4 linked regions of the Rhinolophus ferrumequinum genome follow. The protein of the gene in region 1 interacts with the protein of each later gene in a pairwise test. Links are inferred from orthologs where the notes say so. Each region holds a gene or a part of one and is shown on either strand. Other genes may lie near its edges. The genes, in order: PEX19, PEX11B, PEX16 and PEX10.

The links.
Region 2: the proteins of PEX19 (region 1) and PEX11B interact in binary tests that used the Homo sapiens proteins (3 or more experiments, as listed by UniProt). The link is inferred for Rhinolophus ferrumequinum from reciprocal best matches to the Homo sapiens genes PEX19 and PEX11B.
Region 3: the proteins of PEX19 (region 1) and PEX16 interact in binary tests that used the Homo sapiens proteins (3 or more experiments, as listed by UniProt). The link is inferred for Rhinolophus ferrumequinum from reciprocal best matches to the Homo sapiens genes PEX19 and PEX16.
Region 4: the proteins of PEX19 (region 1) and PEX10 interact in a two-hybrid assay, tested with the Homo sapiens proteins (4 studies listed by BioGRID and IntAct, with this or other methods). The link is inferred for Rhinolophus ferrumequinum from reciprocal best matches to the Homo sapiens genes PEX19 and PEX10.

Annotation. Positions count from the first base shown.
Region 1 is NC_046305.1:28,254,682-28,262,532, forward strand, and holds the start of PEX19 (peroxisomal biogenesis factor 19), read left to right. Parts: upstream 1-4,851; 5' UTR 4,852-4,864; coding exon of another isoform or gene 4,865-4,934; intron 4,935-5,415; 5' UTR 5,416-5,474; coding exon 5,475-5,646; intron 5,647-6,373; coding exon 6,374-6,483; intron 6,484-6,899; coding exon 6,900-7,065; intron 7,066-7,494; coding exon 7,495-7,580; intron 7,581-7,798; coding exon 7,799-7,851. Other genes in the region: COPA (coatomer subunit alpha), read left to right, coding at 69-263, 534-593. UniProt on the Homo sapiens protein: Necessary for early peroxisomal biogenesis. Acts both as a cytosolic chaperone and as an import receptor for peroxisomal membrane proteins (PMPs).
Region 2 is NC_046305.1:50,154,116-50,161,698, forward strand, and holds the start of PEX11B (peroxisomal membrane protein 11B), read right to left. Parts: upstream 3,003-7,583; 5' UTR 366-3,002; coding exon 221-365; intron 1-220. Other genes in the region: RBM8A (RNA-binding protein 8A), read right to left, coding at 5,711-5,756, 5,867-6,003, 6,376-6,512, 6,686-6,763, 6,890-6,949, 7,223-7,289. UniProt on the Homo sapiens protein: Involved in peroxisomal proliferation. May regulate peroxisome division by recruiting the dynamin-related GTPase DNM1L to the peroxisomal membrane. Promotes membrane protrusion and elongation on the peroxisomal surface.
Region 3 is NC_046294.1:14,936,187-14,943,561, forward strand, and holds the start of PEX16 (peroxisomal biogenesis factor 16), read left to right. Parts: upstream 1-4,368; 5' UTR 4,369-4,682; coding exon 4,683-4,797; intron 4,798-5,003; coding exon 5,004-5,039; intron 5,040-5,854; coding exon 5,855-5,931; intron 5,932-6,278; coding exon 6,279-6,412; intron 6,413-6,548; coding exon 6,549-6,649; intron 6,650-7,375. Other genes in the region: xylosyl- and glucuronyltransferase LARGE2, read right to left, coding at 1-198. UniProt on the Homo sapiens protein: Required for peroxisome membrane biogenesis. May play a role in early stages of peroxisome assembly. Can recruit other peroxisomal proteins, such as PEX3 and PMP34, to de novo peroxisomes derived from the endoplasmic reticulum (ER).
Region 4 is NC_046292.1:1,175,623-1,182,771, reverse strand, and holds the start of PEX10 (peroxisome biogenesis factor 10), read left to right. Parts: upstream 1-4,137; 5' UTR 4,138-4,179; coding exon 4,180-4,291; intron 4,292-4,879; coding exon 4,880-4,960; intron 4,961-5,427; coding exon 5,428-5,831; intron 5,832-6,965; coding exon 6,966-7,141; intron 7,142-7,149.

The sequences.
Region 1 (7,851 bases):
GATCATTTGAGTTGTGGTGTGCAGCTTTCAGTCCTCTTAAATAAATATTCCTTCCCTCCTATCTTTAGACCCGCAAAATCCTGTCTGCCTGTGAGAAGAACCCCACAGATGTCTACCAGCTCAATTATGACATGCACAACCCTTTCGATATCTGTGCTGCATCTTATCGGCCCATCTACCGTGGAAAGCCAGTGGAGAAATGTCCACTCAGTGGAGCCTGCTATTGCCCGGAGTTCAAGGGTCAAATCTGCAGGGTCACTACAGTAAGTACTGTCCTTGAGAAATGCATCCAGAATATTGAGGGAAGGTGAACGAGAAAGAAGCATGTTGGTCCTTTTTCTCCTCTATTTGCCCCTAGCTCCTGGAGACAGTGATACTGGAGAAAGCTAGAACTTCTCCCCATTGCTCTTTACCAATCAGTAACAAACAATAACAAATCACTCTACTGTGCTCATTGAGGAGTGGAGGGAGTAAGCTTTCTAGGCTTCTCACCCTCACAAACCCGTAAATTTTTCTTGTTTCCTCTTCTACAGGTGACAGAGATTGGCAAAGATGTGATTGGTTTAAGGATTAGTCCTCTGCAGTTTCGCTAAGGCCCTCTTTGTGTGTAAAGGGTCAATCACCATACCATCCGCCTCCCACTGCCCCAGAGAATTAGTCTCTGTGTCCTTGTAACTCCCTGTTCCTTAACTACCTTTCAAATTGACATTTAGCTCTCCCTACCCTAAAATGTAGTGTCCTTTTCTCTTCTTCTGTGGCTAATCAAATGTCTAAACTTGACTTTTCTTTTTTTTTTTTTTTGCCTTTGAGGACCTTTCATTCTTTCAAGGTCACTACTATAGTTGCAGTCACAATTGCAGTCACAGTTGAACTTGCCTTCCCAGCTTAGCTCTTTCAAGAAACAAATGAAAACTTAGTGGTGAACATTTGTTTAGTAAATTCCTTCAATATTTATCTTTTTCCTCTTCACCACCTTTTTTCCTTTTTTGCTAGAAAGGAATGGGATATAATAAATAAGATAGCATCTTTTGCTCAATCACAGCAAACTCTTAGCCATCCCCCATTTTAAACTCCCAGGCAGGTACCCTCTGTGTGCCCAGAAACTTAAAGTCTAAGAAGAAACTTTGGCTTTTCAAAAACGCACATCCCTTTTTATTGATTTGTTCTTTACAACCATTGTTCTTATTTTTTGTTTCTCACACTAAATAAATTTCTACAAGAATTTTATGGCTTGCTATTTGTTTCCTGGATACGCTCATGTTCCTGCTTACTCCATGCAGCTGCCCCACCAAAGCAGATGTCTTTCCTTCGATAATTATTTCTAATTACAAAATAATAAATACCCGTTGTTAAATTTTTTTTCCCATAGGATATATTAAACTGCTATGAGAATGGTAGAAAGTAAGTGGCTCCCTCATTTCATCATTGAACTGCATCCTTCTATCTATTGCTGATTATACCAATATTTATTGAGCACCTGTAACTGTTCTGGATGTTTTATATATCAGATTAATTAGTATTAAACACGTTGTATTTATTACAATTATTATATTAGCAATACAGTATTTTGCTTGTTATGTGCTAAGACTATACAGTGACATGCTGTGCCTTTGATTAAAGTATGTACTTTTTCATTTTAAATTCATGTTTTCAATAAACAGTACACTCATATGATTCAAAAATCAGTAAATGTAAAAAGCTATTTTGTGACGTCTTCCTCCCATCCCTTTCCTCAGCCACATAGTTCCTATCACCTTCCCCAAAACAAGAAACCACTGTTGTTAGCTTCCTTATCCTTCCAGAGATTTATGTATATACAAACAGATAGGAATATGTTTCTCCCTATCCCCCTGTTATACATAAATGGAAGCAGGCTATTTAAAGATTTTGCACCTTATTAATGTTTTCACTTAACATATTTTAGGGATTTTTTTTTCATCTCATTATATTAGAGAGCTTCACTCTTTTTTACTTCTTTGCATAGTGTACCATGTATTATTTACTACGATTTATGTAAGTTGCCTTCTTGATGGATATTTGAGTTATTTCCAGTCTATCTCTGGCTATTATAACAAGGCTGCAATGAATAACTTGAACACACATTATACAGGTGGGGGATAAACTAGAAATGGAATTCCTACGTCAAAGAGCACAGGCCTTTATTTTTCTTTTTAGCTTTAAGAGTCGCTTTCTAAACATAGTATCCCCAAGCTGAGCCTGTTTTTTCAAAAATTTGCATACTACTTTGATAACATTTTCTCAAGTTATAAGCATTCTTTATATATATATAAATTTTTTTATTTTTATTGTTTATTGTTTTAACTTTTAATGGGGGAATACTGGGGAACAGTGTGTTTCTCCAGGGCTTATCAGCTCCAAGTCGTCGTCCTTCAGTCTAGTGGAGGGCACAGCTCAGCTCCAAGTCCAGTCACTGTTTTCAATCTTTAGTTACAGGGGGCGCAGCCCACCATCCCATGTGGGAATTGAACCAGCAACCTTATTGTTAAGAGCTCACACTCTAACCAATTGAGCCATCCGGCCGCCCCTCTGGCAGCTCAGCGACCGCTCGTTGCCTTCAATCTAGTTGTGGAGGGCGCAGCTCTCTGGCCAATGTGGGAATTGAACTGGCAACCCTGTTGTTCAGAGCACGCGCTCTAACCAACTGAGCCATCTGGCCGCCCTGCATTCTTTCTGTAAACAAGCAAATTGGTGATACATTTTGGCAAAAAAATTTTTTTCTATGTTTAAAAATTAAATTACAAAATTAACTTCACATATAAATATAAACATTCTGAACTCAGGGATATGAAAAAAGTGTGCAATCTGTGCCTCTTGAAGCTTAGGGAATTGGGGAAACAACATGGATATATGTGAAATAATTGTGAATACCGGGCAAGAATTTGAAGTCGGTAAATAAACAGTGGAAAGCCATTATATCCTTAAGCGAGAGAGTGATATAAAAAAAAATGCTGTAAATTACTTTTTTGCAACAGTGTTCACTATACATTAGAAAGGCAGAAGGTGAGTAAATATGAGATGAAGTGTTAGGAGTATCAGTAGTAAAAACAAAAGCAGAAGCAAGTTTAAGATACAAAGCAAAGAACCGTGCTTGTTTAGAACTCCATCTTAATCTTCTCAATTACCATCTAGTATTTTCCTTAACATGATTATATAGCCACATTAATGAAAAGCCAATAGAAATGCCTGTTATATTTTTAAACATGCACTTGATATACCATGCTTCCCTGAAAATAAGACCTAACTGGAAAATCAGCTCTAATGTATCTTTTGGAACAAAAATTAATATAAGACCCGGTCTTATTTTACTATAAGACCGGGTCTTATATTAATTTTTGTTCCAAAAGACATTAGAGCTGATTGCCCAGCGAGGTCTTATTTTCGGGGAAACACGGTAGTTATAGTTATATTAGGCATACACATGTAAGCAGTTTGGAATTGAATGAGCAAGTTAGCCTGTAATAAATTGTTACAAGTGTTGATTATAGAACTATTGAAAAGTACCTTGGAGTCCCAACTGTATTGTTACATACTTGTAATCTGAGGTCTAAATTGGTGAAGGGTTTTGAACAGAGTAATTTATTGACAGAGTTGGGTCTCCCAGTTCAGAATGTGTTCTCCCAAGTCACACTACTTGTGCTTAGAAGAATACAGTAGTTTTTGCACAGGTATGATTTTACAAGTCTGTGCCCTATCTGTAAAGGAAAGAAAACGTACCTAATCTGGTGCTTGACACAGTATTCAAGTGTTTGGAAAGCTAAGGATGAAAGTCATGAAGTGACTCTTTTCATTCTGATGTGATTTCTCCCTTTTAAACTTTATGGCACTTTACCCTGAGCTTTTTAAAGACACTTTCCTTGTGCCATTCTTACTGTGTGTATGTGTAGTCCTACCTCCAGCCTAATCCCCAGTCAGCAAGGGCTGATCCTGATTTATCTCTATCTTCCACTGTGAGCTGCAACAGGTCTTAAACAACAGCAGATGTCCTGTAAGTGCTAAAATAGATTTGTGTCTGAAGCAGTTTATGTATTATGACAGATCTGAATAGGAGAACAATCTCAGAGGAGGAAAGGGATGTCTAGAGTTGTCTCTATGTGAGCCTCTCCAACTTCACTCCATTGGAGGTTGCGTTCTGTACAGAGAAAAGGAGATGGATCAGGGAAGGCAGGTCTATTACTACTACATTCAAATTGCCCTCTTGTTCAGTCCAAGGTCCCAGAGTCTCATTTCCTGCCTGAATTGATTCAACCAACATTGAGTCGTAACAAGTCCTGGCCCTGTGTCCTTTAGTCTAACAGTTCTAATGGAGAATAGGAAAGGAGAGATGTCCATTAGGTCCCACAGAGAAACGTGTTTCATAAGGATCTGGGAGAACAAAGGATGGCCAATGAATGCCTACTAAGTTTTAGGCCCTAGCCTAGGAGCTGAGAATACAGCATTGAAGACAACAGGACGAAAATCCTTGCCATCACGGTGTTGAAATTCTAGGGGGGAGGGGTGGAACTGGGAAGGGGAGACAATAAGCAATATAAGTAAAATATATATTATGTCAGAAAGAGTTAAGTACTGAAAAAAATAATGGAAGAGCTACTTCTCTGGGTAATCAGGGAAACTGAATGAAAGGAAGCCAGGCCAGTAAGAAACCTAGCAAAAGATAACAGTAAGTTTCTATGTTAGTTCAATGATTCCTGGCGTAAGGGGAAAAAACCCACCCCAAATCGAGTTTCCTGTCCCTTTGGGGCGGCTCCGTACTGCCCCAAATTAGTATTGGTCGCAGAGGCGGAAAGGGTGGAGCGCGGGGGGCCTAGCGGAATCCCGCCTCCTACGGCGAGTCAGAGGTAGCAAGATGGCCGCCGCGGAGGAGGACTGTGCGGTCAGCGCCGAAGCGGACCGGGAATTGGAAGAGCTTCTGGAAAGTAAGAGTCCATAATGGAAAGAACCGAGGAGGGCGGGTATGAGAACCCATTCAAGGAGTTAAGTGAGCCTGAGATATTTGGGGCGGAGCGGGGAAGGCTGTCCAAAGATTGGACGGGTGCGGAGGGTCTGACTGCGATCCCGATTTCTGGGTCCCCCTCATCTTCCTCCGCGGCGGGAGCTGCGGCCTTCACGTTGGGCCCCTGAGAGCCCAGACCGTTGATCTCTCTGCCAGAGGGGAAACAGTAACCCAGGGGACTGCGTTTGACGATCCAGTTCCAAACCCTCCTTCCCTTTAGTAAGTTCTTGAAGTCGAACTTCATTCGGTCCTCGGTGGGCAGCAAACCAGACACTCGCAGATTGCTTACATTAACTCTTAACAAGCCCGTAGCTCACTCTGCTATGCACTGCCTTATCCTTAACATAAAAGACACTTTCCTGCTCCCAGTCCTTTCACCTTTGTCTCACCAGGCCCCTTTTCAGTTATTTCATCAGGTCAAAGCTGAAGCCGACTCCCTTGCCATTATTTTGAAAAATAGAGGATGAGAAGGTCTCAAGGAAGACAGTTCACCCTACTGAAAGAGGGTGGATGTTCTTTTCTTCCTGAACCCTGTCCTCCACTCCTCTTGGTTTCTTGCCCAGAGTGGAGCCAGTGCCCTTCCCCTAGGCCTGGCAAGCAGAAGGTAGTGAGGACACAGGCTTTTCAGGGCAGAGGTGAATATTTTTTTGTCTCTTGCCCAGTCACAGAGATGTGGGCAGGTGGAAGGACAACAGAAACAGTGAATAAGTGATTCAGCAACAGTGCCAAGTGATTCTGTGTGAATTATCTGCTCACAGTTATCTGCAGAGATGGGGCCAGAGGGAACTAGCTCTAGGAGCTTTGCCCAGGGAGGCCTAAGTTGAAGGATAAGAAAAGAGAGTTTAATGCCCTTCCCTGGAGTGCAGTATGGAGTCCCTCAGTTTCTAGTTGTATCAGGATCCATGAGGAGCTGGGTGGGACATTTGTGGCTTTTGCTTTCTTGCAGAAGATTATTCCTTTCAGGGATCCAGAGTGAGTTCAGGGGGTTAAGGACATTTGTGTTCTCTGTGCCTGTTAGATATTTGTATAAGATTTCTAGGGAATCATTAGAGTGTGGCAGGGAAGGCACTGTGTAGATGGAGATGTCTCTGCAGAACTTCTTTTAACCCTCTCCTCCCAGCTCTGAGAGAGATGCCTGTTCCTTAAGATGTTTCTTCCCCTTTGATCATAATAAATTAGGTAATGGGGAGGTAAGTGGGAGGCTTACTGAGGGGAGGGCCAGGAAAGGGACACTCAGAAAAAGAAAAATTTAGGAACGTGGGCAGTTTGAAAAATTGTTCTCTCAGTGCTTTACCCAGAAACCCCTCATTCCTTCATCCTCATCCATCCCCAAAACTCATACCATGTCTCTTGTCTCTGAAGGTGCTCTTGATGATTTCGATAAGGCCAAACCCTCCCCAGCACCCCCTCCTACCACTACAGCCCCTGATGCTTCAGGGACCCAGAAGAGATCGCCAGGAGACACTGCCAAAGTATAAATTCTACCCATTTAAGGGAGGGGAGGGGATGGCATGCAACTCTGAGCAGAGGTGGGGCAGGCCCCAGTGGGCCAGAGGGGAGTGAGGGGAGGGTGCCTTGGCCTCACACTGCTGAGTGCTCTTGCAGGCCTCAGTCCTTGTGAAACAGGGAATTGACTTGAGGTGGAGTTTAGAGATCTCAAGGGGATTCCTTAAGAAAGGAAATTTAAATGATTGGTTTGGGAATACCACTCCATACTGACAGATACCTTCTTGCTGTCCTTATTAAGAGAGGTCATTAGAATGTTCAGTGAAAGTGGGTAGGAAGAAGACACTGCATTTCTCAGAGCCTCTGCCTGTGGTTTCTGTCAGAAACCAGGTGCAGTGCAGTGCCAAGTAAGAGATGCATTTTGGCCACTCCTCCCCTGCAGGATGCCCTCTTCGCCTCCCAAGAGAAGTTTTTCCAGGAACTTTTCGACAGCGAGCTGGCTTCCCAAGCCACTGCAGAGTTCGAGAAGGCAATGAAGGAGTTGGCTGAGGAAGAGCCCCACCTGGTGGAACAGTTCCAAAAGCTCTCAGAGGCTGCTGGGAGAGTGGGTGAGGGGGGTGCCTGACAACTGGAAATATCTGAACAAATCTCTTCTTAAGTCATCGTTGCTTGAAAACCCCAAAATTCTTAGTGAAGTTGATAGTCATGATACCACTTCTATGGGGGTAGGGCAAGGAGATGGGAGGAAGGATGGGCACGCTGCTTAATGAAAGGGGTGAAATAAGTGGAAAGTAATAGGAAAGATTATTGAAAGCTGGTCATGTAAATGGTCGCAGTGTTTTCGAAGGTGTCATCATGGAGAACAAACTGACATGTAGTCCATGTAGATTGGTGAAAATGACTATAAAGATAACTATAAAGATTTGGAGTAATCGTGACTCACTAGTAAATGCTCCATGTCCAAGCTGGTAACCAGGTCAGCCTAGGTAAGCAAACAGTTAAAATCCTTAATGACCTTGGTTCTTTTGATCTCTTAGGCAGTGATGCGACTTCCCAACAAGAATTCACTTCTTGCCTAAAGGAGACACTAAGTGGACTAGCCAAAAATGCCACTGATCTGCAGGTGAGGGGGGGTGGGCAGGAATGGAACCACAAGGGGCCCACTCCTAGACACTTCACCAGCAGATTCTCAAAGACAGAGTTTCTTGGGTATCATCTCAAGTCTGTCTCTGCCTCACTGTTTTGCTATAGGCAAGTTTAAATAGTTCTTTCCCACCTGAAAGGGTAGTAAGCATCCCAAGAAGGCAATGTACTTGCTCATCTCTCTCCTGTCCTTTTTAGAACTCAGGCATGTCAGAAGAGGAGTTGACCAAAGCCATGGAAGGGTTGGGCAT
Region 2 (7,583 bases), about 22 Mb from region 1:
CTGAGCGGCCTCCCGCTGGCCCACTCGTGCCTCAGTTTCCCCATCTTTCCCGGGCGCAGAAAGGAATCATCTCCTCACGGCCGGCTCCAATCAGCTCGTCGCGGTCTGTCCGGGCCCCCGTCGCCCGAGATGACCCTTTCTGACCCCCGTAGTGGGACCTGACCTCGCTCACGAGGGTCTGCCTTTGCCCGCCCTCCCCCCACTCCTAGTGGGGCCGCACCTGCACAGCCGGTCCCGGGCCTGGCTCTGAGCACTGAAGCGGACCCAGGCGTCCATGACAGCAGCAGCGCAGGCTCCGCAGCCCGGCTCCCGCCCCTGGGCACGCCTCCCGGACGACCCAACGGTGCCTCGCGAGGGACACACATCGCCAGACAAGAGCAGGTGGAGACGGCGCTGAAGCGGAATTTCGGGAGAAGCGCTGGCGGGTGGGCCTGCGTGTTTTTGTGCTCTCGGTCGGCCGGCTCATCCGGGGGTCCCTTATTTCCTAAGCATGCTCGGGCCGCACATTGTCTTTGAAATGTTCTGGACCCAGGGCGGGGCTTGCAGGGGTGGGGGCGGGGCAAGAAGGCGCCGTAGTGATCCCGCCGCGCCCGCCGACACAGGGCTCCCCCGCCCACCCGCGGGGGTGCGAGCAGAACACCCCCAACGTGCTCGCGCGCGCCCGCCCGCTCCGGTCGAGTCCAGCGATTTGGGGGCTACACAAGCCTGTGGAAGTAGAGGCAGTGCCAGACAGTACGAGGCTCCCCGCAGAACCCTGACAGTTGGTTAGGTGACCTCCAGAATACAGATGGAGAGTCCCGACAGAGGCTTTAGGAAGAATTTCGCGATAACCAGCTCCAGATCCTAAAAAGGAGGGTGAACAATCAGTGGCCGAGCTAATCTCTTCAAACTCACACTTCATCCCCCCTTCTCCTTCCAGGTCACGATGTCCACAGGCAATGGCACCACTTTGGCGGTGGCAGTGCCGGGGGGGAGAGGCCTGGGCGGGATCAGGAGTGGAGGTGGAGGGTTCAGAGCTGCCCATCTTCTCTGCTGTGGCCAAGGTCGGAGTGGGAGTGACCGCTGTGCTGTTTGTTCTTCCGCTGGAGGGAACTGGCCGTGCTGTGTGACAGCCGCAATGCAGCCAGCTTCGCCTCTCTCCAGTAGGGCGACTGTTTGCCCATTTGGCAGCTGCCGGTTTACTCTTGTGGTTATGTCCCTAGATATCACCCGGAATATCGCTGTTCAGTGACTGGCGGGGAACATCGCATGTCAGACACTCGTGTTCCTGAAACTAACGGCCATGTATGCTGCAGCTTCCGGGCCTGTGGTCACTGGGCTCGACTCCACCCACCTGGACCTCGCTTAGCTGGAGGGAAACTTCTGGGGGCGGCCAGGGGACTTAGTTTCCCGCTTGCTTTGCCCCAGGTTGAGTGGCTTGTCTGGACTCAGGGCTAAACTGGACATAAATTTGGGCACGCAACATGAGCCTAGGGAGACAAAGGGTGTGCTTGGCAGTGGTCAGCCATTAATCGTCGGGGGGAGCATCTAATTCTTTTGCTAGTTAAGATCATTGCATGTTAACTTGTTAAGAGCCTATGTCTTAATTAAAAGCAGTACCCTTTATCTATGCTTCTTCCCTTCAGCTTTTACTTCGCTTCCCCCTTTTTGTATCCTTCCTCTGGAGATTGTTGCAGCAAAACTCTAGAGCAGGGAGGAAACATATATGGGGTCTAGAAAGAAGACAGTGAAGCCAGAGGCTTTGGGAAAATTTTGTGGTATATTCATTCATGATTTAAAAAATAATGTGCAGCATCCCCAGGTACATTCAAGTGCTCTATTAAAGATAGAGCAACAAAGTCCTGCCTTCGAGAAATGTAGACTAGTGCAGGAGACAACTTAGTACAAACCCGGACAGTACAGTGTACAGTGAAGTCTTATGCTAAAGGTGAGCATAAGGAGCTAAGTAACGAGGGGTGTTTGACCCACTCTTGGACAGTCGGGAAAAGCTTCCCAAAGATGCTAAGATTTGATTCTTGAAAGATACGCGAAGGTGTTAGACAAGTTAAAACAGGGGGAATGCTAGGGAGGGTGGGCAGTGGATCTCAAGAGTGGTTGCAGCTAAAGTTGAGGGCTAGAAAATGGTGAGTAATGAGCCTGGAGGGGAAGTCAGATCACAAATATTAAGCTTGTACTTTACCCTGACGGCAGTGGACAGATACTACAGTAAAAAGTAGAGAGGGACATAATCAGATTTGTATTTTTTACTCCAGCTTTATTGTGGACTGGGTGTCAAAACTGGAAAAAAACAAAGGGAGCATCTGAACCTGAGTACCAGTTAATAAAATCGCAGTATGAAAATGAACTAGAATCTAGAAAAAAGCTAAATATGAATTTTCTGCAAAACAAAAACCACTACTACCATGGGGGGTGGGTAGAGCAGCATCTCGAGATTAGGATTATGTCTGGAAGGGGGCTAAAATTTCAAACTCTCGAATGATAATGCATTATTCTTGTAGTCAGATTTAAAATGTGATCCGTAAATCCTTACATTATTAGAATTCTACCAAAAAGTTAGTCCGACTATAGTTCTAAGACATACATCTTCCAAAAGTATGTTGCAAACAGGACCTCTGCGATCCCAAACTTTAAAAAGCAGCTTGTTGCCTCAAGTACAAAAGGCATTATTTATATGAAGCACATTTTAGGTGGGGACTGGGAGTTAGAAGCCTGTTTTTGTTGCACTGCTTGCTTGTTTTACTTTGCTGTGATTTTTCAGTCTAGGTTCTACCATTAACTAGCTATGTGACTGGCTAAATCATTGAAACTCCTGGACCACAAGATCACACAGGAAATGAATTTCATCCTTTCTTACAGTTTGGACAACTGACAACCTAACAGCTGCAATTTCCATGTGCTTCAATGGCAAACTAGTGGTAACATTATGATACATGTGCAAAAGGTGATATTTTTAGTTGCAAATTAGTATCCTCTTGTGTAAATTCTGCATTGCCCATATGTTGTATTTAAAATATTAGTGTCAAAATTTTTTTTTCCTGAAGGAAACCTTTATTTGGGGAGAACATGGAAAAGAGGGGTTACTCACAGTCCAGATCAGCCTAGAAGGGCCTGAAGGACTGTCTGTCTAGGTGCAACAGTTATATAGCAAAAAAAAATATTTTAAGTGTGCTGTTAGTGTGATGAGGGAGTGCTGGGCTAATTAGAAATTAGTTTTATAGGCTCAAGTTTCCAAGTATCAAATAGTTGAAAGGAAGGTTTCTATAATAGGTGGTCAATTGTGTAGAAAACAGGGAAAAGAAGAGGCAGAAGTAGGACTATACATCAAACTGTCTAGGAGCCTGGCCTATTTTTAAACCCCTCCTCACAATGTGTCAAATATTTCTCAGCATAGTGCACAAAAACAAGAGAAAAAAACCAAAAAGACCTAGAAATATAAGAACTCAAGATAGGGATAAAGGAAAGACCATTCCCCAAGTAGCTCCGAGTAGCACGAACATAACTCCAAGCACTTCATAAAATCACATGTCTATGGCTGATATTTTACCATCTTTCCTAAAAGTCCCTCATGCCTGCTGAAATCACTTTCCAAATACCTAATACCTAGGAACCTGATAGCTACAGAGCTTGCCTTTTATCAAACTAAGTGACTCAACCTACTTTACCTGAACCAAGCTCAAAACTGAAAAATACTTTATTGATTCAAACCAAAACCCAGCAATTTACCAAAAGAGGGGAGGGGCAGCCAACAACATTTGGAAAATGTTAAATTTTATTATTTATCAGTTTCACCATTATAGTTCTTGTACATTAATACTCCTCCTAAAGGTCATTTCAGAGTGGCTGCAAAATGGCCTGAAATTTTAGCAGCACCCAATTTATACAAGGTTTCTTTTTTCTAAAGAATTAGTCACAAACACATTAGGAAAATCACATCAGCTAAAAATGTTGGTGAGGTGGTAAAGCTATCCTTTTATAAGGGCAATGTTTCAAATAGTACTTGAGAAGGCAGGATTCTTTAAGTCCCAGGATATAACAAACTTAATGGTTAGCTCCACAGCCTAAGGAGATTAAGATTTTCAAGATACATTTCTAACTGTATGGTACCACGGACAAACCGTAACTCTGTATTGCTCTGCATACATACAAGGATGAATTAGGAAACAGTGTGACACCGGTGGGTAGGTTGGGAGGAGGTGGAAGGGGAACCAGTTCTTACAGTCCTCAAGCCCACTCCAGCTGTTCCTGTTCTACAGCACCGGTTGAGGGGCCCAGTCCCTTTCACTCAGTGTGTCACCAAAGGCAACTTCAAAGCTCAACGGCAAGAGACTACCTATAACCTCTTCACCTTCTCCTGCCTCTTTCTGCTGCCATTGACTGCCACGACCATCTGCTACAGCCACAATGTCCTCAGTGTGTCTAGTCCCCAGACAAGGAAGGGGAGCCAAGATGAGACTACAATCCCCAGGCCCAAATTCGTACCCTGGAACTATTGCTGCTAGCCTCATTTATGATAGCTATTTATCAAGTCAAATCGAGATCCTAACCATACTTCTAGTACCTGATGCTACACACAATTTTACTAAATGCTTTCAATTCCAACCAGCCTCTAGCCATCCTCTGAACTTGAGTTAGCTGGTCAAGGGTTAAGGAGGTGATCAGTATTCTCCTTTACTCTTGGGACACCATCAAGTCTTAAAGTAGACTTACTAGCTTCATATAACACAGCACCTCAATCAAACCTTTTCTCTAGCATGTGTCATAATCTTGGGGGGGAGGGAAACACACAGTCCCAAACTGGGAAGGGGAAGAGGGTTTGCAGCATTCTCTTCCTTGCAGGGAAAGAGCTCCATCTCACTATCTCTGCCCATCCGTTAATTCATCCTATACTCAGGTCAGGTGAATATGCCCTCTGCCACTCTGTCTCAACAATCGGCCCCGCATTCGTCTGTGGGCCCCAAGACTGGCCCTGCTTGGTTTGCTGACCTTTGGCCTCTGCTGGACATCTTATTACCTGCTGGATCTCTCCTGCCATGCTGACTGCAGTGCCTCCCGGCCTCAGCCACATCCTTTTCCTCTTTGGTGTCCTCAATGCTGCTCTGGATTCTGTCCTCCATGGGGCATTTGCGCTTGGATGCTGAAGAGGGCACCAAGAACTTAACATAGACTCCTCCAGGGAAGGAGGGTCTGGAAGAACTCCCCGACGGGACATTCAGACCCTTAGACAGATGGAAGTACACACAAACGTGGCAGCAACAGCAGCAGAAATGAAAGAAACATTCCTATAACATCCATTTGCTCCGGACAGAGTATATAGGGACAGAATAATTATTCTTTAACATCATGAGAACATCTCACTGCTCTTCCTATTCTTACTTCCAAGGAAAATAAATACTAAGCAGTGTCTCTACTTAGACCCTTTGAGACTTGAGACTATGTGTAATGTAGATATTCACACAGAATTCAGTCACTGGGAGAAGTATCTTTACAGTGACCCATACTACCTTGTTGGAAATAGCACTTCAGAGCTTCCAATGTTAGAACAGAAAAGTAATTTTAAATGTAGAAAAAAAGAACGGGACATTTATTTGTAACTCACAAGAACCACCAAGCAATAAGGGAAGAGATTAAATACAAACAGTGAGTTCCAGCCCAGCCCTATGTCTCCAAGGCTGGAATCTCTGGAGAGAACACCCGGACAACACAGGACCTGTCAGCGACGCCTCCGGTCTGGACTCCTGCTGCGTCTTCGGCCACCTCTAGGGAAAATGAAGGGAGGGAGGTCCGTCAGAGGGACACAATACAATGTCCTTATTCCATTTCACTCATATTCCCTTCCCCAAGACGGTGTGTGCCCTCTCCACTTTACCTCCTCTTGCTCTTGGGTGGACCCCGAACAAAACACCAGTCCACGCTGATTGGCTGTCCCATCAAATCCTGGCCATTGAGTCCTTCCATAGCAGCCTGGGCCTCCTTGTATGTTTCATACTCAACTAGAGTATAGCCCTAGGGCAAGTGGAAAGGCAGGTATCAAAACCCTCCTATTCCACCGAGCTGTTTTCTACTCAAGTAGGACAGTCCATGTGTATAAACTTTAAACAATGAATATATATCAGAGGGTGCCAAAAAATATATATATACATCTTAAGAAAGGAAAAACTGTGTTAAAATTGTAATACTCAATATATACCGATAACAAAAGATGAATACAAGTCATGTGTATACATGTTTTTGGCACCCCGGTATATCCCTACTGTATTTACAATATGTTGTCTGTTTCTTTCCTAACAAAATCAATTTCCAATGATATTTTATTTCAGCTTTGCTCTTGGCCAACCACACCAAACATGGGAGGCAATGGAGTGTAACTTAGGATACCTTCAGGTATCCTGTACGCCTGTCCAGGTTGAGGTGGATATTTTTTATTTCCCCATATTCTGCAAATTTGTCATGGATGTCTTCTTCCGTGGCTTCTTCATGGACTCCAGTGACAAAGAGAATCCAGCCTTCAACAGCTGTTGGGGAAAGGAGGGAGGTTGTTTGAGCCCATGAGAGAAAAACTTCAAGCAAGATCACAGGAGTGTGAACTCCAGAGACTGGTTAAGCTATCTCTGACCCCTTTCCTACTGGTTTTACTTTATTAGTCCCTCATTCCTACACAGACACCTACAGGCTCCATGTTACTTACAGCGTTGTGGTCCAGGTTCATCGCCATCCTGCTCCACGCTGTCATAATCCTCACGCATCCGCGCTCGAGACCCCTCTTCTAATAAGAAACATACACGAGATCACCGGAAATCCCTTCTCCCACCGTTCCCCAGGAATCAGAATGGGGACTCCAAAACCCGTAGCTCTAGCCGTTCTAGACCCCCCTTTCCCCACAAACACTCACCGGAGCCAAAGCCGCGGCCCTTCCGTTTCTTCGCTTTTTCCTTCAGTTTGTGGATGCTCTCTGCGCCCCATAAGTAAAGAGTAAGTAACAAAAACAACACAATAGTCTCTCTCCCAAGACAACATCTGAAAGCGGACCCCCATCGCCTCCCATCCCAGTCCCTTCCCAGTCCCGCCCCCAGGTTCTGCCCCGAAGGGGGCGGAGTCTCCACTCCAACCGAAACCCGGTTCCCCGCCTCCCACCCTCCCTGCCGGGAAGAATGGAAATTGTTTTCCTAGTACGCCCTTCTGTCGCACCTTCCCCGCTTCCCGCAGCCGCCTCCACCGTCCTCACCGTCCCCATCCTCATCCATGGCGAAATCTTCGCCCCCGGCCTCGTGAAGATCCAGCACATCCGCCATCTTGCCTTCGTTCTAATTCTCGTCTGTGCCGCTCAGGAACTAAGCATCTCGGGAAACTGTCGCGGAGGGGAAAGGTCGCCAGTCAAGATAACCAATCAAAAGCCTACTCTAAGTCCCGCCCATCGGTGCGGTGAAAATACGTCCTGGAGGCGGGCTTAGTCCGGGAAGAGCCGGAAGTGTTCCTGTAGCCATTTTGAGCAGGTCGTGAGCTGGAAACAGTGTTGCCGTGAGAGACAAGCTAGGGGTAGGCGGAGATGGTGGCTTCCTCCTATTTAAGGCTGCCTTGGAGAAAAA
Region 3 (7,375 bases), on another chromosome or scaffold:
GTTGTGGCCCGGGTGGTCCACCGACGGGTCTCCGTCGGGGGGGACACGTGGCGTTAGCGCGCATGGGAAGGATCCCGGCCCCCTCTGCTCGCGGCGCTCACAGGCCAGGTCTCCGCCGAACAGGAAGAATCCGATCAGAATCAGCAGCAGCAGCAGAGCGGCAGCCCCCAGCGCCCGGGGGCGCCCTCGGGGCAGCATGGCCGCCTGCCGGGGCGCTCAAGGAGGGGTGCGACCGCGGGCTGCGGACTCCATCGCGGGCCCTACGGACAGGGGAGGGAGATAGGAGGGTCAGCCTTGGGCGGCCGGGCCCGACGGCCGCCGGGTCCCCTCCCGCGCCGAGTCGCCACCTCACCTGCTCCAGCGCTTGGAGACACGGACCTTACTCTTCCAGAAAAAGGCCAGGGTGTGGGGAAAGGGGTGGAGGCGCAGGCCAGCCCCGTCCAAGCAGGAGCCAGCCCCGCCCCCAACCTGGGCTCAGGTTTCACCTCCGCTTGGCTGAGCCCGAAAGGCGGGGAGACCCCCGGGGGCCTGGCCCCGCCCCTGCCACGGTATTTGACTGCCCCCCTGCCCAGGCCCGCGAGCAAGCCGGGAAACCTTCAGGATGGGTAGTGGAAGCGGGGTCATGACATCCAGGAAGGCCCAGTCCCCGCTACCTGCTCTGAGCCCATCCCCCTCTTGGCTGCTCTGGGGCCCCATCTCCTCCCCTTAACCTCCCTCCGTGGGAGGGGCCGTGACCCCGGGCCCAGGATGAAAAGGACTGCCGGAGTAAGAAGGAGGAGGCTGGAATGCTGCTCCGGAGGTCGGGGACACCTGCTCAGCGGGCAGGAGGCGGGGCCGGCCTGCCGAGACTTTCCCTGGAAAAGGAGCACCTGAGCCCTGCTTTCCTCACTGCATTCTCTCTCTCTCTCTCTCTCTCTCTCTCTCTCTCTCTCTCTCTCTCTCTCTCTCTCTCTCTCTCCCCAGGTGGTTCAGCGTGGTCCGGCGCAGCCCGAGCTCGGCTGGGACAAAGCGGGCTTGTGAGAGTTGCCTCCTGCCCAGGAACTGGCGAGAGACCTCACTGGCCTGGGCCGCCTGGGTAGGGCCCGGGATCCCCACCCTTGCCTAGACCGTCGAGATTGTGCCTGGTGAGGGCCTGGCTCTCTTCCTCTAGCCCCACCCCCACCCCCCACTCCCGCACCCACAGCAGGCAACGACATGGCTCAGCCCTGGAGGGGGTGGGAGGCGCTCTGGACCGTGAACGACAGCCACGGTTGATTGAGCGCATGCATGTAATCCGTGCCAGGCCCTGTGCCTTGGTTCCATAAAGCCTCAGTTAACCCTCACGACGGTCCTATAACATCGGCATTATTCTTCCCCAGAGAATTGAAGTAACCTGTTAGAATCCCCTGGAGCTTATTCCCCAGGCTCTACCTGGCATACATTTTCCTGCTGCTCCTCCCTAAGGGTTTCCTGCCCCAGGACTTGCCTTTGATGTTCTTCTGCCTGGATTCTACCAGATTCTCACAAGGCCAGCTCCTCCTTTCGTATCCCTAGGTTTGTTTTCTTCCTAGCACTTTTCTAGTAATTTGACTTTGTTGACTTGTTTATAGCTTGTCGCCGCGTGGAAGGTGACTGCTCACAGTATTGGGTCTCCAGCACCCAATCAGGGCCTGGCACACAGCCAGTGCTCAGTCAGTATGTGCTGAGAGTGGATAGGACTCACTGGGCCTTGCTGTGACCTGGAAAGGGGCTAGGCTGTGTCCTTTAGTCCTCTATAGCCTCACTATAAAATGTGAGGGCCTGAGATGCCCCAACCCCTCAAAAAGCTGTGACAAAGCAGCCCAGTCTGAGCCCCCTAAGTCTCCTGAGAGGCCAGGATGCCTTTCTCTGGGAGATGGAGATCTGCAAGGAAGGTTGGGCTTTGGGCCTTTGGAGGCCAGGGGCAATTGTTGCCAGGGAGACCTATGGCAGCTCCTTGTATATCTAGGAATTGAGAGGAGATGAGGGGATGCAAGGGCCACCCAGGTGCCTGGAGCTTTGAGCCCCCCTGACACTCATCTCTAGCCTGGAGCTGGAGTGGGAGTGGGTGGAATCCCCCTGCAAGAGCCTCAGCAGAGACTATCTGTGCGGGTTAAATGTGATGGAGCAGGTGGGCCACACAGTCAGGGCTGGCCAGGAAGTTTGTGGGAGAGGCTGGGTCTGCAGAGTGACTGTGGTCACTCACAGTACTGGCCCCAACTCTTGCTCAATCTTACCACTTGGGAAATTGAGTTGCTGAGATGCCTGCTGGGCCTCCAAGAGGTTCTTCTGGGCTGTGGAGGGGAAAGGGAGACATGTCTGAGCATATGAAAGGGTGCTAAGCCTGAGACCTGGTTTGGCCCAGCTCTGCCGAAGGACTTTGCTGTGTAACCTTGAACCAGTCAGGCCCCCTCTCTGGGCCTCTGCGTCTTCATCTGTACTTGTTGGACTGGTCTAGCTCTCTTCCCCTGTCATTCATGGCAGAGTTAAGCAGGGGAGATCCGGACCATCATGCCCAGAGGCCCTTCCAGCCTAGCCAAGTGACCAAGTCCAGGCATGGGCCCAGCAGGGAGAAGCTGCCCTAGGCGCCTTCTGCACACACAGCCACTCTTTGTCTCTGGGACCTAATCAGGGATCTGGAGAGGAAATTCAGGGAGCCTTGCTGCTGCCAGCCTGGCTGGCCTTATGATCCCTTTCCAGCCCTGGAGGCAGGAAAGACAGAAACAGACTCCAGGCCAAACACCCCTCATATTCTGTCTAGGGGAGGCTGCTCCTCTATCCTCCATGCCTCTCTCCTCCCCAGAAGCACAAGACCACCAGCCCTGGGAATGCCAAAGAAACGGCACACTCTCCCTCCTTACTCTCTCCACAGCCTCAGAGGGAGGCACTGGAGGGATATCCACTAGTGAGGTTCAGGGAACAAGTTCATTAAGATGATGGGGTGCAGGGAGTAAGGGAGAAAGAGCCCCACACCGAAGTTCCTGAGCTCTGGTCTTAATCCCAGTTGCTAACTTGATTTATGACCAAATGGCCTCAACGTGTCTTTGCTCTTGCTAGGCTGTGGGCAGGAGAGAGAGCACTGCCATGTAAGACCTGTATTGTGATCCTTTTGGCCAATGCCATGCTGTGTGATCTGGGACAAGTCCTTTCCCCTCCTTGAGCCTCTAATTTCCCCATCTGTGAAAAGGAGCTCATAGCAACCTAGCAAGGTTGCTAAGAAGAGTTGAGTTGAGTGAGCCTGGCACCCAGGAGGTGGTGAGAAATAATGCTGCTGGTGCCCACGCCCACCTTCTGTGTTCTCCAAGCCCTTTGCCTTTCCGGAGGCCCCTGGACACATCTACCCGATTCTTCATTCCTTGGCCTGAGTAGGGCCCACCGGATATGGAAGAAAACTAAACTGGAGAGGGAGCTGGGGGGAGGGAGTGTCAGGAAGGGTTGTGGCTTCCCGGTGAGGTGTGTTGCATAAAACGCCTAGATTCTGTCAGGATTCGAATCTTGACTGGGTTCTTAAGCGGATCCTTCCTTCATTTGGAGATAATATCTGGTAGAGGGGATTAGGTAAAATAATGTTTCGCTGTTCTCGGTACCACACATCTGCCAGCACAGTCCGGATGGGCGAGGCCCCGCCCCTTTCCCCACAACCAATCAGCGACTACCTCCCAGGGGCGTCAGTTCCCTCCACCTCTGGCCACACCTCTCCCGCAGCCGCCCCTTCCAGGGAAGCTGCCTCGTTTGAGAAGGGATCCCCAGGAGTCTCCTCATCCCTTGGGGAACAGCAAGACTGAGGGGTGCATCCGAAGGCCGTAAAGCGCTTTAAGATTGATTCCGAGTCTAAGGACCAAGTCTGCCCTCAAACCACTTTACAGATGGGGAGGGGAAACCTGAGGCCCAGAGAAGGGAATCTCCCGACCACGGTCACCACGAGCCGAGAGCAGAAGGCCGGGCCAGGGTTTTCTCCACGGAGGTGGGCGTGCAGGTGCGCGCTCTTGGGGGACACAGTCCTTGCGGGAGCTGGGGCCGAAGTCGGGGCACTAATGGTGCTGGCCGGGGGATCGAGCCTGCGTTGGATGCTGGAATCCTTGCTGCCTCAGTTTCCCCAGCACTACCTCTGGTTGGGCACGGGAGATGAGGCAGTTGGCCACACGCGCGCCTGCCAAGACACAGTCCAACTCTCCTAAGACTTTCTCGGCTCCTCCCCAAGTCTGATGGAGGCTCCTTTCCGCGCGCTACCTCCCAGCCCTTTAAAATCCGGTCCCGTTCGAGCCTCTCGGCGTTCTATTAGAAAGACTCTAGGCTACAAGTGCCTTCTCTGGAATGAACGGCTCAGACTGCCGCGGGAGCTTTCCTGGAGCTATAACTGCGCAGGCGCAAGGGCAGCCAACCCGGAAGGCGGAAAAGCCGGGTCCCGAACAGTGTGGATCGGGTCGGGGGCGGAGATGACCTGAAGGAGTAGGGAGGGCGGGATTAAGCCCGCAGTTGCTAAGCGCTACCCTAGTGGGAGGGGATTTAAGAAATAGGGTGATGGGGGGTTCAATGGCCCTTCACGTCACCGTCCAACTGGCCCGCGGAAGTTAAGCAACCGAGAGGCGGGCTTAGGGCCGGAAGCAGGAAGGAGGGCGCAGGAAGCAGGGCGCCGCAACCGCTCGTGCTGTCTGTCGGTCAGTGGGTCTGTCGGTCTCGAAGGCATGATGGAGAAGCTGAGGCTCCTGGGCCTCCGCTACCAGGAGTACGTGACTCGTCACCCGGCTGCCACCGCCCAGCTGGAGACGGCAGTGCGGGGCCTCAGTTACCTGCTGGCAGGTGCCACCCAGACCTTTGATCAATCCCTTCGGGGCTCTGACCTCTGACCCCACTTGCCCCCTTCCCTGCGGCGTCAGGGTAGTGATCGCTGTGCTTGAGAAGTTCCTTCCAGGTTCCCGTAGGGCGTAGGGAGGGGACATCCTGGGACCCGAAGCCGCAGGGTGAGGCAACGCTCACCGACGCCTCCTTCTGTGCCTTCTCCTCAGGTCGTTTCGCCGATTCGCACGAGCTGTCAGAGCTGGGTGAGCCGGGCTCGGGTGGGTGGAGGGTGGGAGAGTCCAGGAAGGCTTCCCAGAGGGGTGACCACCCCAGCTCGCAGTCCTAGGTTTCCTGTTAGATCATCCTGTGCTGTGACTGAATGGGACAAAGGTCCAGCGTCCACTGTCCTGGGCCCTCTGTGTCCCCATAGTTGAGAAACAAATCTGGGGACCTTGGCGGGTCAGGCAGCTGGGCCACATGCCTTCCCTGCCTTTGCCCAGTTAATTCTCCCTACAGCCATATAAGGTGGGTACTCTTGTCCTCGGTGTCTAGTTAAGGAACAGCAGTTCAGTGAGGTTAGGAGGTAGCCACTGATGACCCTAGAACCACGATTCAAATCCACATCTCCCGGGTTGCAGGATCCCCATACTGTAACTGCCTCTGTAGTGTTTGCCCAGCGAGACCTGGAAGTGACGGTCCTGAAAGGACCAGCTGGGTTTTGAAAGGTGGAGTAGACTTTCAGGTGCAGGATGCAGAGAGAGCAGGGCCAGGAGGTGAGGCCACCCATCTGTGGCTATTTGGAGCACAGTGGACAGTTCTGGGCAGCTGGAGGGCCACTGCTATGTCAGCAGGGCAGTAGCTGGTTTGTCACAGGTCAAACCATCTTGTTTTAGCCACCCACACGAGATCACACTGCGGAGTGTGGAGCGGAGGAAGTGGACAGGGAGGTGGGTTGGTTTCCACATAGTGTGTGGGTGGCTGAGCACAGCAGGTGATAGGTGATGCATGTAGCTCTGGGGAGAAGGGGAGGAGGTGCGGCTGCGGGGCCAGCCTCTGACGGCCACACTCTGCCCCTCAGTGTACTCCGCCTCTAACCTGCTTGTGCTGCTCAATGATGGGATCCTACGGAAGGAGCTTCGGAAAAAGTTGCCTGTGGTGAGAATTTTGCCAGGAACTGAGGGCGGGAAGCATAGGGACTTGGGAACAAAATAGTAAGAACCAGCCTGTGTGTGTAGCACGTTATGATTTCATAGAGTGTGAGACATGCCTGCATCCATCTGAGCCTCTAGTCACCTCCTTAGGTGGTGCCAAGGTGTCAGTGTCCCCATCTCGGATGAAAAGACTTGAGTCTCAGAGCCGTGGAGTAGCCTGTCCCAGATGGAGAACTCAGGCCAACATACTTGGAAAGGGGAAAATCCACCTCTACTGTCAGAGGGGTCCCCTAGGGGAAGGGCCTGTGACAAAGGGGTGCCTCCTGACCTCTTGGCCTGGGGTTCTTACAGTCGCTGACCCAGCAGAAGCTGCTGACATGGCTGAGCGTGCTGGAGTGCGTGGAGGTGTTCATGGAGATGGGAGCCGCCAAGGTGTGGGGCGAAGTGGGCCGCTGGCTCGTCATTGCCCTCATCCAGCTGGCCAAGTATGTGGGACTGTGGCGGGCAGTCCCTGGGGGAGGGGTAACTGAGGCCAGCTGTACAGATGGGGTTCAGGAGAGCACCTCTGGCCCCTGGCCCGCTAGCCACCTTGCCCCCAGCCCTTCCATACTCCCAATCCAGGGCGGTACTGCGAATGTTCCTGCTCATCTGGTTCAAGGCTGGCCTCCAGACCTCACCCCCCATCGTTCCGCTGGACAGGGAGACCCAGGCACAGCCCCCGGGTAAGCTGCTTGCCTGCTCTGGAGTGGAACGGAGCCGGGGACTCATTGGTGGATTTAGAGCTGACCAAATGAATATTGTCCATTTATGGAACATATCTATCCCCATCAACTCATTTGTTCTCATCACCCTGTATTTTACAGAGAAGAAAGATTAGGTTGGGGCAGAATTGGAACTTGAACTCAGGACTTCTGATGTCAGAGTCCTCATTCTTTTTTGTGGGCTGCACAAAGAAGGGACAGAGCGTCAGTAGGAGAGATGGGTCCTGCCAGCCTCATCTCTGGCTATGGTTTTTTTTTTTCTTTCTCCCGTTCTCTTGTCTCCCCCCACCGTCCCCGACTCCGGTTCAAGCCATTGTTTCTCAGTCTAGTTGTAGGACACAGCTCCCTGGCCCATGCTGGTATTATGAGCCTTGCGTCCCCCTGGCTGAGGCAGTCAGTTGCCGGTCATCGGTCACCCACTCACGGCAGCTCTCGCCGGCTGCCATCTCCTCACGATGGCTGCTGGCCACTCATGCTGGCCGCCGGCTGCTTGTGGCAGCACATGGTAACCCATGGCACCACACAACAGCCCACAGCTGCTCACGCTTGCTTCCAGCCACTCAGGCTGGCCACCAGCTGCTCCTTGCAGCACATGGTAGCCCACAGCAGCTCACGCCGACCTCTGGCTGCTTGCAGCAGCCCAGCTCCAGAGAGAGCCATTGTTCACAATCTTAGCTGTAGAGGGCG
Region 4 (7,149 bases), on another chromosome or scaffold:
TCTGTCGTGCTTCTACAGACAGAAGCCCCTGGCCACCCTCCAAAAACTAACACAGAGGAGCTGAGGGAAAGCATTTCTCTGCTGTCAACTCCACAGCTGGGGGGCACCTGTCCCTGTTCCACCGGCTGCTGGGTGGGCACTCAGCCAACAAATGGGAAGTCCCCTTCCCCTCTGGTGGCGGCTTAGGCTGTGAACAGCCTGCCAACCTCGAGTCCATGTCTGCTGCTCTCATCCACAGAGTCTGGACTCGTACTGTCTTCATACTCGGGAAACAGGACACGCAGGACCAGCCAGGACCTAAGGCCGCTAGCCCTGTCCTCCGCAGACCCCCTCCCAGAGCAGGCTGCAGTTGGGGCTGAGGAGCGGACCCTCAGGCACAGATGGTCCCAGGGTGATGGCTGGGGGCCCTGGCCGTGAGGGTGCTGTGACCCCCAGCAAGAGCAGTTCCTGGGAGGCTGGAAAGAATGGAAGAGAGGACCTGGAGAGGGCAGCTCACCCCTTTGAGAAGCTGCCCCACTGTGGGCACAGTGGGGGGGAGGGGAAGAGGAAGGACAGGTCTTTGGAGCCCCTGATGGGGTGGGGAGCACTGTGGGTGCAGAGGTGCACACTCGGGGTGGCCTTGGACAGTAGGACGCCAGCCAGGGTGAGGGCCATTGGGCCCAGGGTGCTCCTCTGCCAGTGAAGTGGGACAGTGGGGGGCTGGGGGCCGGTGTGGAGAGTCAGGGGCTATTCAGCTGGGACCCCAGTGAGACGATGCAGGCCCGGGGTCGGCCGTGTTGGGACAACTGGGGCTGGAGGGGTTCTCCAGGGGACGAGGCCATGTGCGGTTCTCCAGGGGACGAGGCCGTGTGCACAGGGAGGCTGTAATGTAGGAAGACAGCAGCATATCAGCTGCCTCTTCTGCAGACGGGGAACAGGCTTCAGCAGGGAAACGCCCAGCGAGGCCACGGGGCAGGCTTGGCCCCGCACTGCCTGTCCTGCACTCTGCTCCCCTCCCCTGTGCTCCCCGCAGGCACCCGTTCTCCAGGCGCTGGGAGCAGCTCATGGCTGGCCCACCAGCCTCCAGCACATCCCAGAGCCTGGGGCCGGAGGCACAGAGCCAGGCCTCACCTGTGGTCTCCAGACCTGGAGCTAAAAGCACCTGTCTTCCGCCCCCTGGCCCTCCAGGAACCCAAGGTCCCGGCAGGTAAGGGCAAAACGTGACTAAAGAAGGTGGCAGGTCCAGAACCCACTGATCTGAGTACCTCCCTTGACTGCCTGAGCCCGAGGGTGAGCTCCCTGCCCTGCCCTGGTGGTCCCAGCAGGTGCCCAGGGCTGAGCAGGCTGCAGAGACGGCACCCATGCTGCCCACTACTGCTCACCCCTGCAGATGGGCCCAGGACGCCCCAGCCTTGACCCCAGGGCTGGGGTGGCCCGAGAGGTGCCCTTGGCGCCGTCTCGGCAAGAACCATAACAGGAGACTTCTGAAGTCCTGCTCCAGCGCCTCCTTCACCGAACTGCCTCCCAGGCTTCCTCGGAAGGTCCAGTCTGCCACTTGGTCCCTCCACCAGGGCCAGAGCCACCCCACCCCACCTCCACCCAGGTTCCTGTGCTGCGCCCCCTCCCTCAGACTGGGGCTCCCACTGTGAGACTGAGGGACCCCGGCCCAGGAGGGGTGCAGCAAGGGGCCCCTCAGGTGTAGGGGCAGGACAGGACTGGGAGAGGTCTCCAAGGACCCCGCCGGCCTCCGTGCCAGGAGCAGTTGCTTGGGAGATGGGGACACCTCTGCCTGTCCTCAGCACTGAGATGGGGGTTCAGAAGCCAGCCGGGACACGTTTCTGGTGAGCGTCTTCAATCGGAGACAGGAAGTGGCACGCTCGGGTCAAACGGCCCGGCAGGTGGAGGTCAGGGCCCCACGCGGGCTCTGCCTGAAGGCCGCGGGGCTGCTCGGAGGGGCCGGTCTGCCGGGACTCATGTGGGCACAGCCCGCGACGTCCAGAGGCTGGGGGTGACCAGTGCCCCCCTCTGGCAAGAGCCCTCGTCCCTACTCTCCAGCACATCCCAGAATTCTGGGACCCGACAGCACTACAGTACACAGGGCTCAGAGCTGTGGTCACCAGGTTGTGGTCACCAGGGGACATGGGCGCTGACTTATTGACAGGGTAGGCCTCCCGTTGGCCCCGCCCACCCTGACTTCCCTTTGAAACCCACCATCAGTCACATTACTCCCCTTGGCCGTGTCCCCACCTTTACACTGAGGCCCAGCGAGTGGTCACTCCGCCGCTCTGCCGTGGGTTCTGATCCCAGTTCACACTGTGGGGTGAAAATCACTCCCTAATCCCCTAAAATTCTCCCCAGCAACTTGATAGAGCAGATGGGCTGACGGCGCCCCCTGCTGGGCCTTTCTGGAATCTGACCCCCAAACTCGAATCATAGTTCAGCGAACTGCACAGCACCGTGAGAACACTGAGAAGATGTGAACCCCAGTGAACCCCAGGGCCCTCCTCCTCGAGAACAAGGCACTCGGCACATTGACTCTGGCCGTGCCCCACCCAGGCGTGAGGCTGTGTGGGTGAGAAAGGCTGGAAGATGCTTTCCCTGCGGGACCCTGCTAGTGAGTGGGCCCAGCTAGTGAGGAACAGCAGCCAGGGTGGTGCCCTGCCAGCCGTGACCCCGAGGAAGGGAACACAACCCCTTCCAAGGCCGACTCCGTGCCCGTGGACTCCATCCATCGGTGCAAACCCACAGGCCTGGGCTCCTTTGGGGCCAGGAAGGACCTGTGCGTTTCAGACCATCAGATGACAGTTGGCCAGAAAGTTGTGAGGGGCTCAGTGTCCCCTGTGGGCCACGTCTTCCCCCCGCCTACCCCCAAGGGTCCACCCAGGCTGCAGCAGAAGCAGCAGGCAGCCTTTATATCCAGGAAACGGGATACACAGGCAGGGGCACGACTCCCAAGGAGCATAGGGCAGACACTGCGAGAAGACCCAGGTCCTGCCCCCGCCCTCTGAGCAGGCCCTGCCTGCAGCCAGTGGGGCCCCACCAGCTCTGAAACCGTCTCCACCGCTGGGCCACTGCCTGGCTCTGTCACTGGGCTGGGCCAGCCTGGGGTCCTTCCCACAGCTGAGCGTCTGGAGATGGAAGATCAGAGCAGAGGTGAGGCCAAGAGCTGAGGCCTGTCCCGCCCCAGGCTCTCCTGGCCCAGGTCAGTGGGGCCTGTGGCTCCCCAGCCCCGGGGTTGGTCCCACCCACTTTCTCTCCTGCAAGCCCCATGGATCCAGGTGGCCAGGCACTCCCCTCAGTGCCAACAGGGCAGGGCCCTTCTCCTCTGTTGACAGGCTGGCCTGGGGCCACTCAAGTCTGTCTGGGGCGCCCCCTGCCCTCCCTCTGCCAGGTGGCTGTGAGGCACATTTGCAGACTTGGTGACCTGCTCCAGCCTGAAGCTCCCAACACAGGCTGCCTTCTCCCATTTTCTTTCCCCCAGGTCCCTCCCAAGCAGCGGCTCAAGTCCAGCTGTGGCCTCAGGCTGGGCAATGGACTCGCCCAGCTGTCCTCTCTGGTGTGTGGTCCTGGCAAGTCCCCCTAGGTCTCCCTGGGTTACTCCTTTGTGCCAGAGAGGATGGGAGGAGCGTGGGGTCTGCACTCCTGGAGCCTGGCGCAGGGCAGCCTGGTGGGTGAGTGGACGTGCCTGCCTTGTCCTGCCCCCATCCTGGGTCCCGGTGAGGTCCCTGATGATTAGAACACAAGGTGGGGTGACAAGTCTCCGTCCCCTGGGCTCTGAGCTGATCCAATGCCCTCCTTACCTTCCCGACCTCGGAGGCGGGAGGGCGGACGAGGCTTCAACCTCACGGAGGGTCAGCACCCACTTCTGGCTCTGACGCCCCTCGCAGGCCCGGGGGCTGGTCCCACGCTCCCCTCGCCACGAAGCAGCCGGATCAGCGTTCAGACCCGGAACCCCCATCGCGTCCTGAGCCCCCGGATCAGGCCCAGCCCTCCGTCCCGCCCTCCTCCTCCACAGCCTTCCCGCCCCGCCCCGCCCCGACAACCCCGGCCCCGCCCCGCCCCGCCCCGCCCCGCCCCGCCCCGCCTCGGCCCCGCCTCGGCCCCGCCTCGCGTGCCGTGACGCACAAGGTGTGCGCCGCACGCCGGGCCATCGTCATCAGGCACCGCCCGGTGGGCGTGGCCACCCGTGTCCCCGCGGCCATGGCTCCCGCGGCCGCCAGTCCCCCTGAGGTGGTCCGCGCTGCGCAGAAGGACGACTACTACCGCGGCGGGCTGCGGAGCGCGGCGGGCAGCGCCCTGCACAGCCTGGCGGGTGAGGCCGCGCGGGGCCGAGCGGGCGGAGTGCAGGTGGCCCAGGTGTGCGGGATGGCCCGGGGGGCGCCCACCCCCGCCCGTGGGTGAGCCGTGAGGACAGGCGGAGCGTCCGAGGGCGCTACCTGCCCTGAGTGACCGGCGCAGCTAGAACGATATGGCCCCGGGGGTGGTCCTGGGCGCCACGCCGCGAGGTGGACGGGGGCGCACCCAGACCCCGCCCGGCAGCTCCCCCGGGACCCCGGGGCCAGGCCACGCGCCACTAAGACCTGCGCCGAGGAAGCAGCGGGTGCCGCCAGGGCTGCGCCCCGACTCCGGGTCGGGGTGGGGCCAGGTGTGGGGAGAGCGGTGAGGGTGAGGGGCACGGGGTGGCTTCCCCGAGACTGCGCTGAAGCTCTGAGCTGGAGGGGAACGCGGTAGAACAAATGGTGTCTATGTTTACGTTACAAAATAATGTAGCAGAGAGGACAGCGTGGTTGAGGACAGTCTCAGCTTTGGGCCTTGGCAGCGGGAAGACGGGAGCATGTCACCAACCCTTCCCACCCCACCGGCCCCCACCCCACAACGATGGTGCTGCCTCTCTTCTCAGGTGCCAAGAAGTGGCTGGAGTGGAGGAAAGAGGTGGAGCTGCTGTCGGATGTTGCCTACTTCGGCCTCACCACACTTGCAGGTAGCACCCCTGTGGCACCTTCGGACCAGGGCCTCACAACGGCGTACAGCAAGCCCAGAGGGCAGGAGGCGAGCTGGCGGCAGAGCGAGGAGCTCCTGGAGGGGCTTCCCAGTGTCCCTGGAAGGGACAGCCTCAGGAGGAGAGGACCGGAGTCCCTCCCCTAGAGGGCAGGGCAGGCCAGGCCAGGCTGAGCTGCCCCCGGGGCCTCTGGAAGTTCTGACGTTCACCTGTCCTGTCTGTGTCCCTGGGGACCTTAGTCCTGGACCTTGCCCAGGATGCCGTTGAGACCGGTTCTCAGCGGCTGAACCCCGGGGCCCAAGAGGGGTCCCTGCACTGAGCCCTGTGGCAGGGCCTGGCATTCGTTAGAGGAAAGGCAGGGACCTAATGGAGTGCGAGACCCACTGCAGAGAGAAGGAGCGTGCTGGCGCCCCACCTCAGCCTCTCACACGGGTGTCCCTCACCTTCAGGCTACCAGACGCTCGGGGAGGAGTACGTTGGGGTCGTGCAGGTGGACCCATCCCGGAGCCGCGTGCCGTCGAGGCTGCGCCGTGGTGTGCTGGTCGCGCTGCACAGCGTCCTGCCCTACGTGCTGGACAAGGCCCTGCTGCACCTGGAGCACGAGCTGCAGGCTGAGGGCGGCGCCCGGCCCTCGCAGGGCAGCTTGGCTCCCGGCGTGCGTGGCCGGTCGGGGACGAGGCGCTGGCTGCACCGGCGGGTGGCCACGCTGACGGAGCAGCAGAGAAGGGTCATCCTGCGGGCCGTGCTGGCGTTCAGGTGGGGCCTGGGCTGCCTCCAGCGGCTCCACGTCGCCTGGTTCTACGTCCATGGCGCCTTCTACCACCTGGCCAAGCGGCTCACGGGTGTCACCTATGTAAGTGCGGATACCACCCACACTGCTCCATTCGGGTTTGTCCGCAAAGAGGTGGCTCTTCAGGGCCTCTGGGCTCACAGAGCTGCCGGCTGGGGCCACAGTTCTCAACCGGGCTTCGTTAGGTCACCTTTTGCTGAAAGACCTAAGGAAGTCATTTCCACAAAGCCTGCAGATAGGCTCCTACCCTGTCTCCGCTGATGCCCTTGCTTCCGGATTCACCCAGAAAGCCTCCCTCAGGGCCCCACCTGCCAGAGCGTCCCCAGGTTGGCTCTCCTGGGTCACTTTCAGCATCGCGCTCCCTGTAAGAAAGGCCCACCACACCCCTTCCTTGACCTTCCCGGGCAGCGCCGTCCTGGGCACCTGCACCTCCCTTCTCTTGGTCCTGTGTCGGTCCTCAGCGTGCTCACACACAGCGCTGACGGCTCGTCACCCTCGGTGTGTCTTAGAGCATTTGCTGAGCTGGAACCACGGGCTCCACCCAGTGGGCTGTTCCCCCTCCTGGGCCATCCAGGGCTGCCACGGGCTCTTCTGTACGTGGGCACCCAGGGCCTGGCCATCTAGCTGCCCCCATTCCCAGCCAAGGGAAGGGAGACAGCAAGTGGAGAGCAACCAACTTCTCAAGGATGTGGCCAGAAGCTGCACGCATCACTAGCTGCAGGAGAGGCTGGAACAGTGTCACCTGGGTAGCATAGGTGCCTCTGAAAAGCGGGGAGCTTCTGTTTCTCCAACAGAGGAGCTGGTTGGCAGCGTCTGCCACGTGGGCTTCTTCTGCCCTGCAGGGAGCTCCTCAGGCCGCTTCCTTTCCTCTGAGAGGTGGGGCCCTGGATGTCTCCCCACCCTGTCCTCACCTACGGCCCCAGTGGACTCAGCATAAGCTCTGTGCACCTCTTCCTGGCTCAGCACTTGGCTGCTGTCGGGAGTGAGGCCTGCACAGCATCCCTCAACTGCCCACCCACGTCGTGTCCAGGCCCCCCTCACTCAGCTGGGGGCCCCATGGTCATTCTCTGTCCCCGTGGGCCAAGAGGACAGTTTGGCCTCATTGGATGGGGCACCCAAGTGCTGGGGAAAGCCTGGTTGTCTGCACAGTCTTTGTGCCAGCTGATCACGTGTCTGTGCCCTCGGCGTCCTTGACAGCTCCACACCCGCCGCCCACCTGCAGAGGACCCGTGGGCTCACGCGAGCTACCGGCTGCTGGGGTTCATCTCCCTGCTGCACCTGGCACTGACCGTGGGGCTGCAGCTCTACAGTCTGCGGCAGAGACACCGTGCCCGGCGGGAGTGGAAGCTGCACCGCAGCCTGTCTCAGCGCAGGTGTGCGG